Linked DNA regions of Alligator mississippiensis. The protein of the gene in region 1 interacts with the protein of each later gene in a biochemical or structural test. Links are inferred from orthologs where the notes say so. Each region holds a gene or a part of one and is shown on either strand. Other genes may lie near its edges.

Evidence for each region.
Region 2: the proteins of E2F1 (region 1) and CCNA1 form a complex in vitro, tested with the Homo sapiens proteins (2 studies listed by BioGRID). The link is inferred for Alligator mississippiensis from reciprocal best matches to the Homo sapiens genes E2F1 and CCNA1.

Annotation. Positions count from the first base shown.
Region 1 is NC_081832.1:27,212,033-27,219,836, reverse strand, and holds the start of E2F1 (transcription factor E2F1), read right to left. Parts: upstream 3,006-7,804; 5' UTR 2,639-3,005; coding exon 2,396-2,638; intron 1-2,395. UniProt on the Homo sapiens protein: Transcription activator that binds DNA cooperatively with DP proteins through the E2 recognition site, 5'-TTTC[CG]CGC-3' found in the promoter region of a number of genes whose products are involved in cell cycle regulation or in DNA replication.
Region 2 is NC_081824.1:420,989,477-420,996,829, reverse strand, and holds the start of CCNA1 (cyclin-A1), read left to right. Parts: upstream 1-4,288; 5' UTR 4,289-4,393; intron 4,394-4,409; exon of another isoform or gene 4,410-4,576; intron 4,577-4,585; exon of another isoform or gene 4,586-4,674; intron 4,675-4,943; 5' UTR 4,944-4,967; coding exon 4,968-5,117; intron 5,118-7,344; coding exon 7,345-7,353. UniProt on the Homo sapiens protein: May be involved in the control of the cell cycle at the G1/S (start) and G2/M (mitosis) transitions. May primarily function in the control of the germline meiotic cell cycle and additionally in the control of mitotic cell cycle in some somatic cells.

The DNA.
Region 1 (7,804 bases):
AGCTATGAAGCTCTGATCTTGTTGGCTATACATCACAAACGAGGAACCAGCCAGGGAATCAAAGCCTTGCCATAGCAACCTCAAATCAAGCACCTGACTTGATCACCCAGGAAGTTTGTGTCAACAGGCAAAGCAGAAGCTTCACACTGATGCTTCAGCAAAATGCCTGGGGCAAATGTTCAACCACAAGAAACTGGAGTTTCAAGAGCACTTGCCAAGACTTCTCATGAATTTTTACTGCACCTGCTTCTTACCTCTCTTTAGTGAGAGATGAGCTGGATCATGAAGGAAGTGGGTGGGAAAGAGGGAAATATGGTAACGGAGGCCTGTTAACAGTGGGAACACCCCAAAAGCATGACTGTGGCTGGGCTGGACACCTCCCTGCAGCATGAAGTCTCAGAAACACACATGACAAGAAGCAACTTGACTGTTCAAGGAATGAGCTTGGCATTGCTCATACTCCTCCAGATATCTGACTGTCAGGTTAAGCTACACACAGGCAGGAACCACCCCCTTCCCAGGAGCTTGAAAAAGGAGTTTGGACCCTGCTGCTCATACACGTGTGTGTTAAGAGCTTTGCTGACCACAGGCACCAGGCTGCAGTCTGAGAGGCTTTGAGAGGAACTCCTCTCAAGAGCACCTGAGAACAGCAGGTCACTTTGGGAGGATTCTCCCAAACACGGGCTCAACAGGAAGCACAAGCCCAAGCACTAAGCATGACAGCACAGAGGAGCAGTAACTGCATGTTTTCCAACCCTCCCAAATAACAATATCTTATTATGGATTTCTGAACCAAACAGCAGCCTACAATTAAACCAAAAGGATCAACTATAAAGCTGTTGCCCCCTGCAGGCCCCTCTGACTAGAGGGATGGGCTGCTGCAGAATAGTGTGTTTCAAGGGCAAAGCTTTCTCCTGGCTCCCTATCCCCTCTGCTGAATTAAAGCATAAGGATTCCAAACTGGAACAGTGACCAGTCTCATCTCAGGATCCATGGCCAATGATGCACAAGGGCTTAAGATCCTTATCATGGACTTGGCAGTGTACAATTAAAGGTGCGTTCCACACACAATCTGTCTCTCTCGGGACCAGAACTGCAAGCCCTCCTTGCTTTACACTTGATCTCGCTGGAGATGCTGGCCTTTTAAATCAACCTAGTAAGCCCTGTAAACAAGTCAAGACCCCAGAAAGAGGGAGAAAAGACTACTCCAGTGATCTCCCTTACTTCAGTGGTCTCTTATCTTGCGCTAGGAAAAGCATGGGCAAACCACTGTTTTCAGTGAGGCTCCCTGAGGAAAAAGGGGCACTGCATGTAGCTTCTGAGCTTGCTTGGAGAAACAATGGGAAGGTCCCCCGGTGCTGATGCTGAAGGAGAGAACCCCTGTTCCAGAAATCTTACCCTGAGGATTTAAAAAACATTACATCTCAGGGAGAGCAAATAAGCACATGCAAACAGACCCCACCCTGGGACAACAGACTTCTGCAGGACTGTGGCCTTAATATCCTGCAGCAGGAAGTGAAGCCTTTACATTTATACTGTTGCAGACTTTTGTCATAGCAGCTCAAGGAACTCACTGAGCTCTGGGAACCAATGGAGAGGCTTGGGGGCACAAATAAAATGCACTACTGGGACCTGGCCTTAAATGGAGTTCTGCTATGGTGAGGACCCCACTCTCTCAGGCTTTCCATTCCCCAGCTACTTATTTTCCCAGGTTTTCAAAAGTCAGCATTCCTCCCTCCTGTACAAGGCACATCACTCCCTTATGTGTTATCTACCTCACAGGCAGATGTATCAGGGCCAGAACTTCCACATCCTCCACTGCAACCTGTTCCACTTCACTACTTCACAGCAGTTATCAACAAAACTGGAAATGCATCTGAAGACAGCATGAGCTGCTGCTTTCATTTCAGGCTTCCTTTATGCAGTGCTGCCCACTTGGTAGCTCTGTTACACAGCCAGAAAACAAAGTGTGGCAGCCTTGCTCGGGGCCTCTGCCTACATCACCTAGCTACGTATTAACAGCGTACTGCCCTGCGCGGTGCCCATGGGGGCCCAGCCGGTGCAACACAGTCAACCTCTCCCAGTAGGAAAACACCCGAGGAGCGGAGCCCCGGAGGTCAGTCAAAGCCGCCAGGGCGCTCTCCTGAGCGAGGGGCAATGAGGCCAGCGCGCGGGGAAAGCGGCTTATGGCAGCCCCCGGCCGAGCTCCCCTGCATCCTACGCCCGGTCCGCTCGCCGCCGCCTTTCCGCTGGACTGCGCGGGTTCCGACCAGCCGCCCCACGGCAGCCTCGCCCGCAGGCTCCCCGTTCAGGTGCAAGAGGCGCCGCGTGGCACAGCCTCGGAGAGCGCCCGAGGCAAGCGCGCGGCGGGGCTAGGGAGTGAAAGCGGCATTACCGGCGGGCGCCCCAGGGCGGGCCTCTGCGCGGCGGGTCCCGGCCGCGGAGCCTGCGGGGTGGCGAAGAGCAGCAGCTCCGCCTCGCTGTCTCCGTCGGGCGCGGGCAGCTCGCCGGGGGTGGAGATGATCACGATCTGCTGCTCCACCACGCGGAGCCCCCCGGCTGCCCCCAGCAGCGCCTCCAGCTCGGCCACGCAGGCGCTGCCGCCATCCCGGGCCACCTCCAGGCCATCCAAAGACATCCTCCGCCCGGCGCGGGCTCACATCCCCGGGCGCTCACGGGGAAGACCCAGCGCTGCTCCCCTCGCCCGCTCCCGGCGCTGCGTCCACCCGGGGATCACAGCGGCCTGGCGGGCACGGCGGCACAGCCCCGCCAGCGGCGGGCAAAGGCCACGGCCGGGAGAAGCGGCAGGGCGCCGCGGCCCATACTCAGCCCGAGGAGGCGCAACCAGGCAAGGCCCCGAGCGCGGCGGCGACCCAGACCATCTGCCCCGGCCCGGCCACTGTTATTGTTCCCAGCTGGTCCCGGCCCCGCACGCGTTTGCGCGCCAAATCCTTTTTGCCGCGAAAGCAGCACGAGCCGAGTGCGCGCGCTCCGATTGGCTGCACCCGTCGCGTCGATACGCAACGCCGCGGGCAGCCGCGTCCCCATTGGTCGCGACCCCGGGATTGATACGCAAACAGCATCTCCCCATTGGCCGCGGCGGGGCAGCCGGGAGGTTTCGGAGTGACTGGGAGACCGTTCTGACAGTGGCCCAATCACAGAGGCTGCGTCGGTCGGAGTGGGGAGGGAAGGGGGCCGTGGGCCAATCAGCGGGGAGCTGGGGGACGCTGAGCTGGGGCCGCTGGGGTGAGAGGGGTTCGAACCGGGGCCTTAAAGGGGAAAAGCGCGGCACGGGCGCTTTCCCTGTCCCGGGGCTGACGTGAGCCCGGGCTGCCCCGCCTCTTCCTGGCACCGCCCCAGCGCTGGTCTCACGCTCCGAGGTCTCCCTCTGGGACTGAGACCCCTCCCCTCGCTGCCCTGCTCAGGACGGCGGCGTCTTCGCGCCTTGCACGAGGGCACTTGGCCAGAGGCTGGCGCGCGTCGCCGTAGCTGATGATCCTGTCTCAGCCATCCCCCAGCTCACCCCGTGACTTGCGGCCCACGGGGTGTGCCATCAAGTGCTCTACCTGGACCACGAGTCTCCAGTTGGAAGGGCAGGCTGGGAGCTGCAGGCTTCAGGAAACGCACCTGACTTAAACACCGGGAGAAAGGAATAGAGAATTAAAAAAAAAAAGTGTCTGTGTGTGCCCATGCATGCAGGTTTGTGCACATGCGTTCATGTAAATGCATCTCTGTGTGGGTGTTTGTCAGCTGTGTGCATGCATGCGTGTGCATGTGCCCACACCTATATGCATCAGTACAAAGACATACACGGGTGAATGTGGCATAAAAGGAGCAGGCAAGGCTGGTAGCAAGTCAAATGATCCCCCTAGGTATCTGTGATGTGGTCTCTTGTTCTTGAGTGGGTGCATGCAGTAGAGGGTTGGTTTCTTTAGTTGCTGCAAACATGACTTGCTTCATAAAGCATTTCTTCCTTTGGCATTACGGGATGAGGCCAGCTGTTTGGACTTTGCCCCCAGTAGGACTAATCAGACTCAGCAAAATTTACAGTTATACAAAATTGCCTGTACTTTGTCCATATGACAGAGTCCACCTTGGCTCTGAATGGCAGAGCTGTGACAATTTGTGAATGATTGATCCAAAGTTAGACTGCTGATGCCACCAGGGGGCTTCCTGGCATACCTGTAGTCTGGAAAATGCAGTTAAGAGAAGGTGTCCAAATCCCAGCCCTTTCAATTCATGTATTCAAAGTCAAGATCCATATGAGGATGGGTGGGTTAAGGGACAACACAAGAAGCCAGCAGCAACAAGAAACAGTTCTTCACACTTCCCTCCCCCCACTTTCTAAGGCCAGTTGACATCCTGGATTCCTCTCATTCTGACTTCAGACTAAGGCACTCCTAGCCGCTTTCATAGATGACATCTTTCTATCTGTGGACAGGTCCATACCTCCAGCCTCATTATTCTGAGCCTCTTTCTAGAGCTTGTAGGTAGTGTTACAAAACACTTTTGCACTGTTCCAAGTAGCTGTAGGAATAGATGATAAAGCTATGAAATGCCTTAGATTTCTCCTCAGAGACCAAACCCAGAGTCTGACACAGGGAACTAATGCTCTGTTTCCAAAGCCTTCCATTCTGGAGCCTAGTCCCCACCTTACAACATCCAATGTCTACATGGAGCTGATGAGATACTGTAGCTTGAAGTGCCGCCATTACCCAGATGATATCCAATTCCATCTCTTCACGTCAACTATAAACAGCAATGTCTCTCAGCTTCCTTACTGCCTAACTAAAGCTGAAACCATTTTGAATGCAACCATCCTGGGAGGGAGAAGGGAGTGCTACAAAGAGTTTGTCAGCTCTGTGGCATCCCCCCTGTTGGAATTCACCTTCCCTTGGGTTGTCATGTGTGTCCTCAGCTGTGCATTCCCTTCAGATTTCATGGTACTATTGGTTATCAAATAGCTTGCTAGCAAATAACCCCAACATTTGATCCATTGGATACTGAACTCAGCTAAAGATGCCCTTTCCAGTCCTACCTTCCTGTGTTCCCCCTATGACTGGTCAGATAATAATGACTATCCTATAAGACAGACCTGGCTATAGGTCCATATGTTCCTCACCTTCAAGTGTGGCTATTGCAAGCCATGTCTAGACATAAAGCCTCAAATTCAGAGATAGTTGAAGTCTGTCCCTTTGGCCACCTTCTATGAACATCTTTCCCATGCACTGCTTTCTACAGTCACTGCCTAGTGGACAAAGTCTAGCTGAAGGTCTCTACTGTAATATTCAAAGTGCTCTAGGTAGCTCTCCTTTAGTGAGACCATGCTGTCCTTCTACAGCTATATTCCACGTGACAAGAAGTAAAAGCTCACTTACCAGAGTGCCCCTTGGGGTATCTAGAAACAATGGCCACAAAGTGACAGGGAGCAGATTTAGGCTGGACATCAAGACGGACTTCTTTATGGTAAGGGTTACCAGAATCTGAATGGGCTTCCAAGGTAGGTGGTGCTCTCCCCTACTCTGAAGGCCTTTAAGAGGAGACTGGACAAGCACCTGGCTGGGGTCATCTGATCCCAGTGCTCTTTCCTGCTCAGGGCAGAGGGTCAGACTCGATGATCTACTGAGGTCCCTTCGGGCCCTAAAAATCTATGAAATCTATGAATGAAGGACCCAATTCTTACAGGTTCTGGCCCCAGGAGTTATAGGAATAACTACAGGCCTCATCACTCTCAGAATTAAATGTCAGACTCATTTCTTTAGTGGTGTGTTCCCTCACTAGCTTCTACAGGCATGCATATGCAGTCCTACAAATTCATCAGACTCCTTTTCTAACATGCCAAGGAAGAAAAGAAAGAGAGGGGCAGGCATTTCTATTTAAAATACTTGGGAAGTGTTTGGCTACTTAGAAGACCTCTAAACATGGGATACACAAATCACTGGCATAATGTCCTCATGGAAGTGGTGGGAGTCTTGACATTGGAGTCATCTGAGAATGGTTGGGACAAAACCCCACAAGATATACTGTGAAACAGACAGAAACAAGGAGAAACAAGAGGCCTTAACACTCTTCATTGTATATTGATTATTTTCCCATGGGGAAGGGAATGGACCTTTCTGGAAAACTTGTTTGTTTTTACTTTAATCTATTTCTGATGTTCAATGGTAAACAGCACCCACCTGATTGTTTCTGGACAGTAATGCCTTGTCCCAAAATGATTGTGTTTCTTTCAGAATTAAGATCTTCTGAAAGGTGGGGGTTTTTAATTCATTTTTCTGGTGAAGTATGTCTTCATTGAACAAAATATAACTAGTGTACTGGCACATCTTATAGAAATTAAACAGGAAATATTGTCATAATACATTTAATAATTGCATGATTGTATTGGGGTACCTGCAGAGAAAATCTGGAGGTCTCATGAGCTGTCTTTGTCTTTGGCATGTCTTTAAGCTATAAGATCTGGGAGACTGCGAAGGCTCAAATTTGTACAAAAAGCCCAAGCCATTGAATGGAAAGAGAAGAAACTTTACTGTATTTACTACCAGTCTCTTGCTGTAATTGTATCACATTAGTCAGTGTATATACATGCTTCCCCTTTATGTCCTTTCACAGAGGATACCAGTCTTTAACAACTCAGCTATTTAGCTTAAGCTGTAGAGATTGATGATTTTGGCTTTGGTGGTCTTATATTCAGTACCTGTTGCTAGCCAAGGTGGAGACAATCTTGACAGCACACTCCTGAGTCTTTTCTCCAAAGGCCTAACTGGTAAGAAAATCAGAGTTATGTTGACTTTGCTGTGCAACACTTGTTCATCCATATTCTATACAGCCATGGGCAATTCAGAGCTGAAAAGGCAGATAACAGCAGAGTCCTCTAGTATCTCTAAATGTGCAGGGGGCTATGGTAATACACCCACAAAACATGGCATAGATTGTAGAGTTCCCTCCATATGCATCTCCATGTGTAGGAAGCTGATAAGTTGTTTTACCAAGTGAGAAGTCTAAATTAAAAAAAAAGGTACGATGAGAAAGCACATTTATGAATTGCGCCTTTTCTAGAATTGTAACTTATATAGACAAAGGTTTACAGAAAAAGAATCCCAGATTTTTTATTAAATACTCACTTCATCCATTACTGAAACATGGTTGCTTCTGGTGTGAAACATGGAAGCTATTTATTGACTCACGTTCACCATTTGAAAGAATATAAGAGAAAAATGAACAAATATGCCTCTAACTGAGCCTGAAGGGACACTCCTAAGGAAGCAGACTGTAATAAGCAGTGACAGATTATGGCTAGAATATAAGTCTGTTTACCTTGTAAGAAGTGCTGGGAGAAATGAATGACCTTTAGTAGTCAGTCTGTCCACCTTACCATGAAAAGCATAATGATCCTTCAGCACCAGCCTGGGGCACTGACTCAATGATACCCCAGAAAGGTGGCAAAGGATACAGTAAAAATGGGCCACATAATAGTCAGTCAAAGTCAATCAAGATTGTACTAGAAATCTTAGCCATATGTTTAAGTGGAATCCTGGGAGAGGAACTTGCCTGTTTCTGGAGGTCTTCAGTAGTGCAGTTTCACTAAATTAGAACCCTGGAAGCACTCTAGGATAGTAGTGACCTAGTTAATATAGTTACACCCACAGTGAAGACTCTTAAACATTGAAGATCACAGGCAAAAAAAAAAAAAGTCAGGTAGAACATAGACACTACAGAAACAGCTCGGAGAACTGTTTGATTCACTAAGTATCCTGCAAGCAGCAAACACCTGCAGCTGCTGCCTGACAGCAACCAGTAAAGG
Region 2 (7,353 bases), on another chromosome or scaffold:
ACTTTCTAAACCAGAAGCAGCATAGTTACAACCACACAATGTTAGGCCACTTATAGCCTATTCTGTAAGCACTTAAGCATATTCTTGACGTTACAATTACAACTAGTTCCAGTAAAGTCAAGAGAATTCCTCTCTATGTAAGTCTACACACATTTAATTTTTGCACAATTAGTGTCTCAGTTTGAATTTTCCCAAGGATTGAAATTTTTTGTATTGAAACGTTTAACAAATCTACACAAGATGGGATCTTGCATGTCATGAAAGTCTGCATAAAATATGTTAACATAGGGGTTCCTGATCATCTCAACCAAAAAAAAAGAGGACTGTACATCATAATTTTCTAGCCCTATCCTGCAGCATTGGTGACCTTTATGTGATCATTTCCTCTAGTCATTACAGTTCCCCCATATTATTTTCCCAACCATCTAACTTCTCTAAAGAACACAGAGCTCCAAGGATCCATTCTGACTGAAAGTAAAACTGCACACAGATGATGTCAGATACTGACATCATGTTTTCTATCTGTGAGACATACCAGGAATTCTCTGTTGGTGGCATTCACATTTTAAATGCTATTATGCCATTTTTTTAGAAAAGAAAAAGCTAAATCTACCTGGATCTGCTGATCTGTAACTCCAAGCTCCCAAATATCATCACAATTTAGATGTCTAGCTGCTCTAACTGCACCTACATAAAATTAAGACCCTTTTGCATTCTAGAGTATATGCACTGCAAAGAACCCAAGTCTGGCACTAGAAGCTTGGTGGATCCACCCAAATTTTGACCCAAGCCCCCAAAGCCAATGCCACCACACAGAGAATAAGTTTTGTAGCTTGTACTGCACTAAAGGATTCCAGACCCCAGTTATGCAAAAACCCATGAATCCCCCAAACAATGGGATGTAGCAAATCTAGCTAATATTTGCCTTTTTCCTATATTCCATACTACATATAGAAGAATACTGGATCCTGATGCATTCAGACACATGAACACTGCAAAATTCTGCATCTGGAATCTCCCTGCAGTCAGTCTGATGATTTTTGGCTTCAAGCTCCAAGTTACACAAACATGTAGGGCTGCTTCTGTTTCACTTGGGGAGAGGGGTGTGGGGATGTTGGAGGGGGGACCTGGACCCTCTTTTGGATACCAGTCCTATAGCACTAGAAAACACATATTTGGCAATAGAAGTCTGCCAATTTTTTAACTACAGCCTCTCAAATTCTATTGTCTAAATCAAGAAGAAGATATAGGAGTTCCTAATGAACTGCCAAATCCAGACTCTGTTGTAACAGTCAACATATGCATCTAAAATCCCAAACCTCAAAATGGTACCAGCTCAACAGGGAAGGATAGATGCTCTACTCTCACTCAAAAATTCAGATCCTGGTATATCCCTGTTCAATAGCACCACAAAGATACTCAGCATTCTTAGCCTGGTGAATCCTGCCCAAAGCCCCAAACTGTATAGTCAAAAAAGCACATTATCCTTTAGAAAAATGCTGGCTCTAATACACACCAGTGCAAAAGCAACTCAAGAATATGTACCTTGCACCTGGGTCCTGTTGGATTTGACCATTTTTGGCTACAAAGCACTTTTCAATTTCACTGCATAAATACAGATCAAGTACAGGCAGTCCTCGACCTACAGTGTTTCCAGTTACGTTTCACACTTACAATGCTTATAAATTGACACTGTTTCAACTTTCTGACATCAGTTTAGACTGTACAAAGCTTGATCCGATGCAATGCCATGCCAGTGAACACATTCACTGCATCACCCATCTCCCTGGAAAACATCTGTCCAAGCTTCCTTGGACACTTTCTTTAAGAAAGCAGCCAAGGCTCCAGAAAAACCTGCAGCCAAGACTCCTGAGAAGACTCCAGCCAAGAGCCCTCAAAAAGTCCAGCAAAGTCACCTCAAAGAAGTCCTTCCAAATCAATGTGATTGCTTATTACAATATAAATATGCTAATGTAGCTATATTACTCATCTATAATTGATTGAGTACAAAATTATGGGTTATTTTTGGTTAAAATAGGGTATCGGGCCTTGGTTCAGGAACCAATCCCCCATTTATAACATTATTTCCTATGGGAAAATCAGTTTCAAGTTACAACATTTTGACTTAAGATGAAGTTTTCAGGAACCAATTGTGTCATAAGTCGAAGGACTACCTGTATAGTCACTCCTGCAAAAAAAATCTGGCCCCTCATCACTCCTAGCACACAAACACTTGAAAAATCCAATTGCAGATCTAGGTCCAGCAAATCTAACTTGTATTATCACCATCATCACAAATTTTATCTTCTGGACAGATAACAAGTACAGCTATGCATGTGCATTGGATAAATCTGTAGGTAATGTGCTTAGATTTTTTCAACCTAAGGGATTTTTAGACCTGTATAACATTAGAAATTATTTACAATTAATGGAATTACAGTATGTAATTCCTTTACATTGTTTTGATTATCTCCATAAATTACTAACCCATCAAGTGTTTAAGCTAAATTACACAACCACTGGACCAGTTCCATTGCAAAATATACATACATAATATGACATTTGGAGGTACGGTATCTAGACAAAGTGATGTCAGATATAGGCTATTATGGTTTCACTGAAACACAACATGTGGGATACATATTGCATAACTACATTTTGCTATATTGATGCAACCTTTTTTCTCTATTTAGACAATTCTACTTTGATGAGGAGGGAGGGCTGAGGTTAAAAATTGGCAGTGTGAAACAGGATCCTAGAACCAGATATATGCTTTTCTAGTGGCATTAGGCCAGCAAGCATCAAAGCTTGAATTTTATTTCATTAATATGGGAGAAATGATGCTTGTTTTCTATTTAGATGTATAATCTAAACTATAATTTGGGCCCCCCAAAATTGCAAAGTTCCAACTGGATTCAATCCTGGAACCAAGTTTTTGCAGCACTGATCCATGGGGGTGCATCCAGGTCCATTGTTTTTAGTTGATTTTTTTCTGTTGTTGCACTGCAATAGTGGTAGCTACCTTTGTTTTCAGTTTAAGCCACAGAATATGTATTGGGGCCTGGATGAATGTGAGGATCCATATTCCAGATCCTGCTTTTTGCAGCCATCCCATACTGAGATGCAACGGTTCAAGGACTTTTGTTAGTGCAGTGAGACAGATTTATTTGTTCTTGAAACGCTATAAAGTTGGGTGTTTAGGGGCAACATTTGATGAGATTTAGTAGGTTTCAGTGCTCAGGCTCTGGGTTATGCTGGCACATAGATTTTCTGTGCCAGAAGTGACTAGTCTAGTTGTATAACGTAGGGTCTTTCTACATCCAGGTTTATTATTTTTGTGTCCTTTAGAGGTGCATGGGTTTGAGATGAAGACTGGACCCCAGAGTGTTCACCACCCCTGCATTTGTGCATCATGAGAGAGTGTCATTGCAAAGAATGAACACCACGGGGCCTTTCCTTACAGTCGCTTCTATAAGCGCTGCACCAAAAGGCAGCCAAAGGGGCCTTGTGTACACTGCAATTACTTGCAACTATTCCAGGCTTCATTAGGAACTGTCCCGGGGTTTGCTTTCACTCCCCAATGGCTCACACAGCTACAGATGGCTGCAGGTGACTGGAAATCAGAGAGCTGCTTCTCTGCACTGATGGTTAGGAAGGAGATAAAGGATACACAGCTGAGGGGACAGCAAAGCCACCGCCCTTGGACAGGGGGCTCCCAGGCGGTGGTTGGGACAGGATCCTGAAGGCACTGTGTACACAGGATCCTGTGTATACGTGTGCGGAATCACCACGTGTGTAATTAGTGTGTGAACACACATAATCAGCGTGCATGCATTTAGTCAGTGTGTACATACATGTAATCAGTGCCTGTATGCCCCAGTGTGCAATCAGTGTGTCATCTATGTGCCACCTGTGTAACCAGTGTGTGCATACATGTGTATAATTGCGGGGAGGTGTGCAATCAATGCCCCTGTGTGAGTGTATTATCAGTGTGTGTGTAATCTAGCCAGTGCGTCTACACCTATGTAACTCGTGTGCGTGCGATCCGTACGTGTGTGTAGTCTGTGTCCGCACCTGCGTAAGAAGGGCGTGTGCATCACCAGTGTGTAAGGTGTGTGTGCAATCAGCGCGTGCCCGCGGGGCTGTGCGTGCGGCGCGGCCCGGGGGCGGCTCCGGGCCCAGGACGCCAGGGCGGGCGGCGGGTGCGGGCCCGCGCCGCGGTTGCCAGGGCGGGCGGCGAGAGCGGCCCGGGCCGCGGTTCCAACTGGCCCGCACCAACAGACGCCGCCGGAGCATCGGCCAGCCCCGCGCCGCCCCCGCGCGCTCATTGGCCCCGGCTATATAGGCCGGGCGGGTCGGGTCGGGTCGGGCCGGGCCTGAAGGCGGGGCGCAGGTAATGCGGGGGCGCTGCCCGCTCACCCACCCATCCACCCACAGCGCCCCTTGTCCTTGCTCCCGCCAACAGTGGTGCTCCCTGTCTCCACTGCTTTGAGCCTACACAGATCAGGCTCAGATCCCAGGTGTTCATTCCCGCCGCTCCTCCCCCCCGTACTGATCTCAGCTGCTGGAGATCAAGGTGCAAGCTGTAGTCTATTTGGTTGGGGTAGTAAAAAGAGCATGGAGGAAGGCTGCTGCTTCTCCACTACAGTGTATGTGTGCATGCATAGGTGACTGGTAGGGGTCCATGTGTCCTCCCCAATGACCAATACTGATGCTGTCGGATGGGCTGGTGCCCCCCCCCCCCCCAGGGCTGCTGCCATTGGTGACTTCTGTGGGCGCCCCCCCCCAGATTCAGAAGGCACCAGTCGTGTGTGTGTGTGTGTGTGTGTGTGGGGGGGGGGGGGGACACAGGAGGGAGAGATACCAGGGAGATGATCAGTCTTGGAGGAACAACTAACCTGCTTTTCTCTTTCTTTCATGCTGTCTGTCTCTCTCCCCCCCAGCTCTCTGCTGCTGACTTGGAGGCCATGCGGTGCAGCGAGGACAAGGGTGGGGTCTCCCAAGTGGGGAACCGGGAGCCCCGCCAGGCTGCAGCTCCTTCCAGCCAGCCTGCCCTGCAGAGGGCTGTGCTTGGGTTGCTGACCGAGAATGGACAGTGCCTTCGAGCCTGTAGCCAGGTAACTCTTGGAGAGCTGCTGCTTACACTGGGGAGTGACCTGGTCTGACAAACTTTTTGGGTGCTGGTGCAGAGACAGTGTGAGCAGGGATGGTGCAGGTAGCTCAGCTGGGATGGTGCAGGGTAAGCCAGTTCTCAGGACTTCTGTGCTAGAGTTGGGGTGCTTCTGGGAAGGCTTGTTTCTCTTTGTGTCATGCACAAAGGGCCACTTCTGATGGGCAACTTCTGTCCTGTTGATGATCTCTAAACTTGGTTTAAAAAAAAAATGAAACCAATAAAACCTCACCCTGGTTCTGCAGACAAACCTGTAAAACTGAAGCATGTTGCTGTGATATTGATACACAGGTATCCCCTCTGTCTGTAGTACTCAAACTTCTCAAAGTCTTATCCCAACAAGACAGGTTTTTAGGTATCTAAAGTCCTAGGTACCTGGCTTGCTGATTCTTCTTCCCTTTAGCTAAAGTGGCTTCTGACTCCCAGCTCCCCTCAAAAGGGGCACAAGGTAACAACCCTCCCAAACAATGATATTGGGCATTTTCTTTTTAAACCCACAGCTTGGAAACATGTAATTTTGCAAGGCCTGGCTTTCACATTTTCAGATAAGCTTCTAGCTCATAGGAGTGGGGAAAGGAAAGAAGTGTTAAATGTGGCCTTGGCATAACCTAAAGGTGCAAACCAAAAAGTAAACCACCTGTTGGAGAGTCTTCAGTCATAAGCCAGTCTCTACTCGAAAGGAATATTTAGAATTAGCAGTATTGGGATTGACTTGGCTACTACATGCTATGCAGCATGGAGAGGAGACGGGTCAAGTGGCCATGAGGGGTGGGGGGCATTTGAAGGGCAGTGCTTCAGTTACTACCCAATAAGTAGGACTTCTCATGGTGGGAAAGAGGATGGCAGGGGCACTGCTGGCAAGCACTTAATATAGTGATGCTCTTCTTAACCTGCTCAATCTTTTTCCTGATAGGAAGGTCACTGAAGGGACTGTTAAGCAGCCTTTTTTAGATGCTAGAATGTGGGGTTTGGTGGAAATGCAGATGCTGCTGAACTGCCAACTACTGCTCTGTGCCTCCACGGTCATGTGGCTGCCTACAGGATTCCCATGTCGTGGCATGATGTTCCAGGAGCTAGAACTACTCCTGGGGGAAGCCTTTATTTTTGCCTTGGCCCCTCTTCCCTTGCTGATCTTATTACCTCTGGCACATCAGCTGGTCCTGAAACCTAAGGCTTGTAATACAAGTTAATGTGACTCTAGTACTGCACTGCAAAAATTGGCTAGAAATGCACTTTTCCTGTAATATGGTTACTATTCCTTTAGGGTGTCTGATAGCCACCTGACTGACAAAATAGTAAATGACTCTTACTTTCACTGACTACTACCTTTTTAGGTTTCACCTTGCATTGCGTGGTAAGAGTCATGCTCTGTGCCCTTCAAGCCTGTTCCTAAACAAAAAGATCCTTGTTTTCAGAAGTATGGAGAAACCACTGAAGCTAGTAGGCTTTCAGCATCACTTGTTTGAGTCTGTGTGCAGTTCTTGTTGGTATAGTCCACTAGCCTGTATTTATCCTAGCCATAGCTACAAACCCGATATGCCTGTTCATACTCCTGTTTACGTACAGTTGTGGGTTAAACTACAGTAGTCTATGCGGGGGAGGGGTCAGAGGAACAAAACAGAGTTACCACTTGTAATCTGCAGCATAATGTTATCTTATCCATGCAAACTGCTTCCCCCCCCCCCCCCAAAAAAAAAAATTCAGACAAAACGGTAAGCTTATTGGTAAAGCTGACAAATATTATTTCCTTTCCTTCCTTGTTATCTTAGTTTAATGCTTTCAAGAGTCCTAGGCTTCACTTTACAATTCGTATCTTTTAACTAACTAGCTTGAAATGTAGTATGAAACTTCAGTAACTCTCTGAGGCTGGTCCTCTTGCTGACATCTAATAGTCCCCTATGCTGCTTGTGCCGAAGACCAAACCTGGTATACAGTTAATACGCCATATGGCATAAAAGACTCGGCTTACAGCAAGAAGGCAATAAGTAGAACTTAAATACCAGTTGTTAATTGTAAGCTTTCTTCTCAGCTAACTTCTAGCTTTTTGATGCAAATAGTTTTCTCTAGTTGGTAACCTGCAGTGTTGTATAAAGTGGGAAGCTTTCTCTTAAAATGGGAATTGTTCTGTTCCCACCAATTCTCTCCCTACAGAATTACTCTCTACTCTGTTTCAGGGCACTACC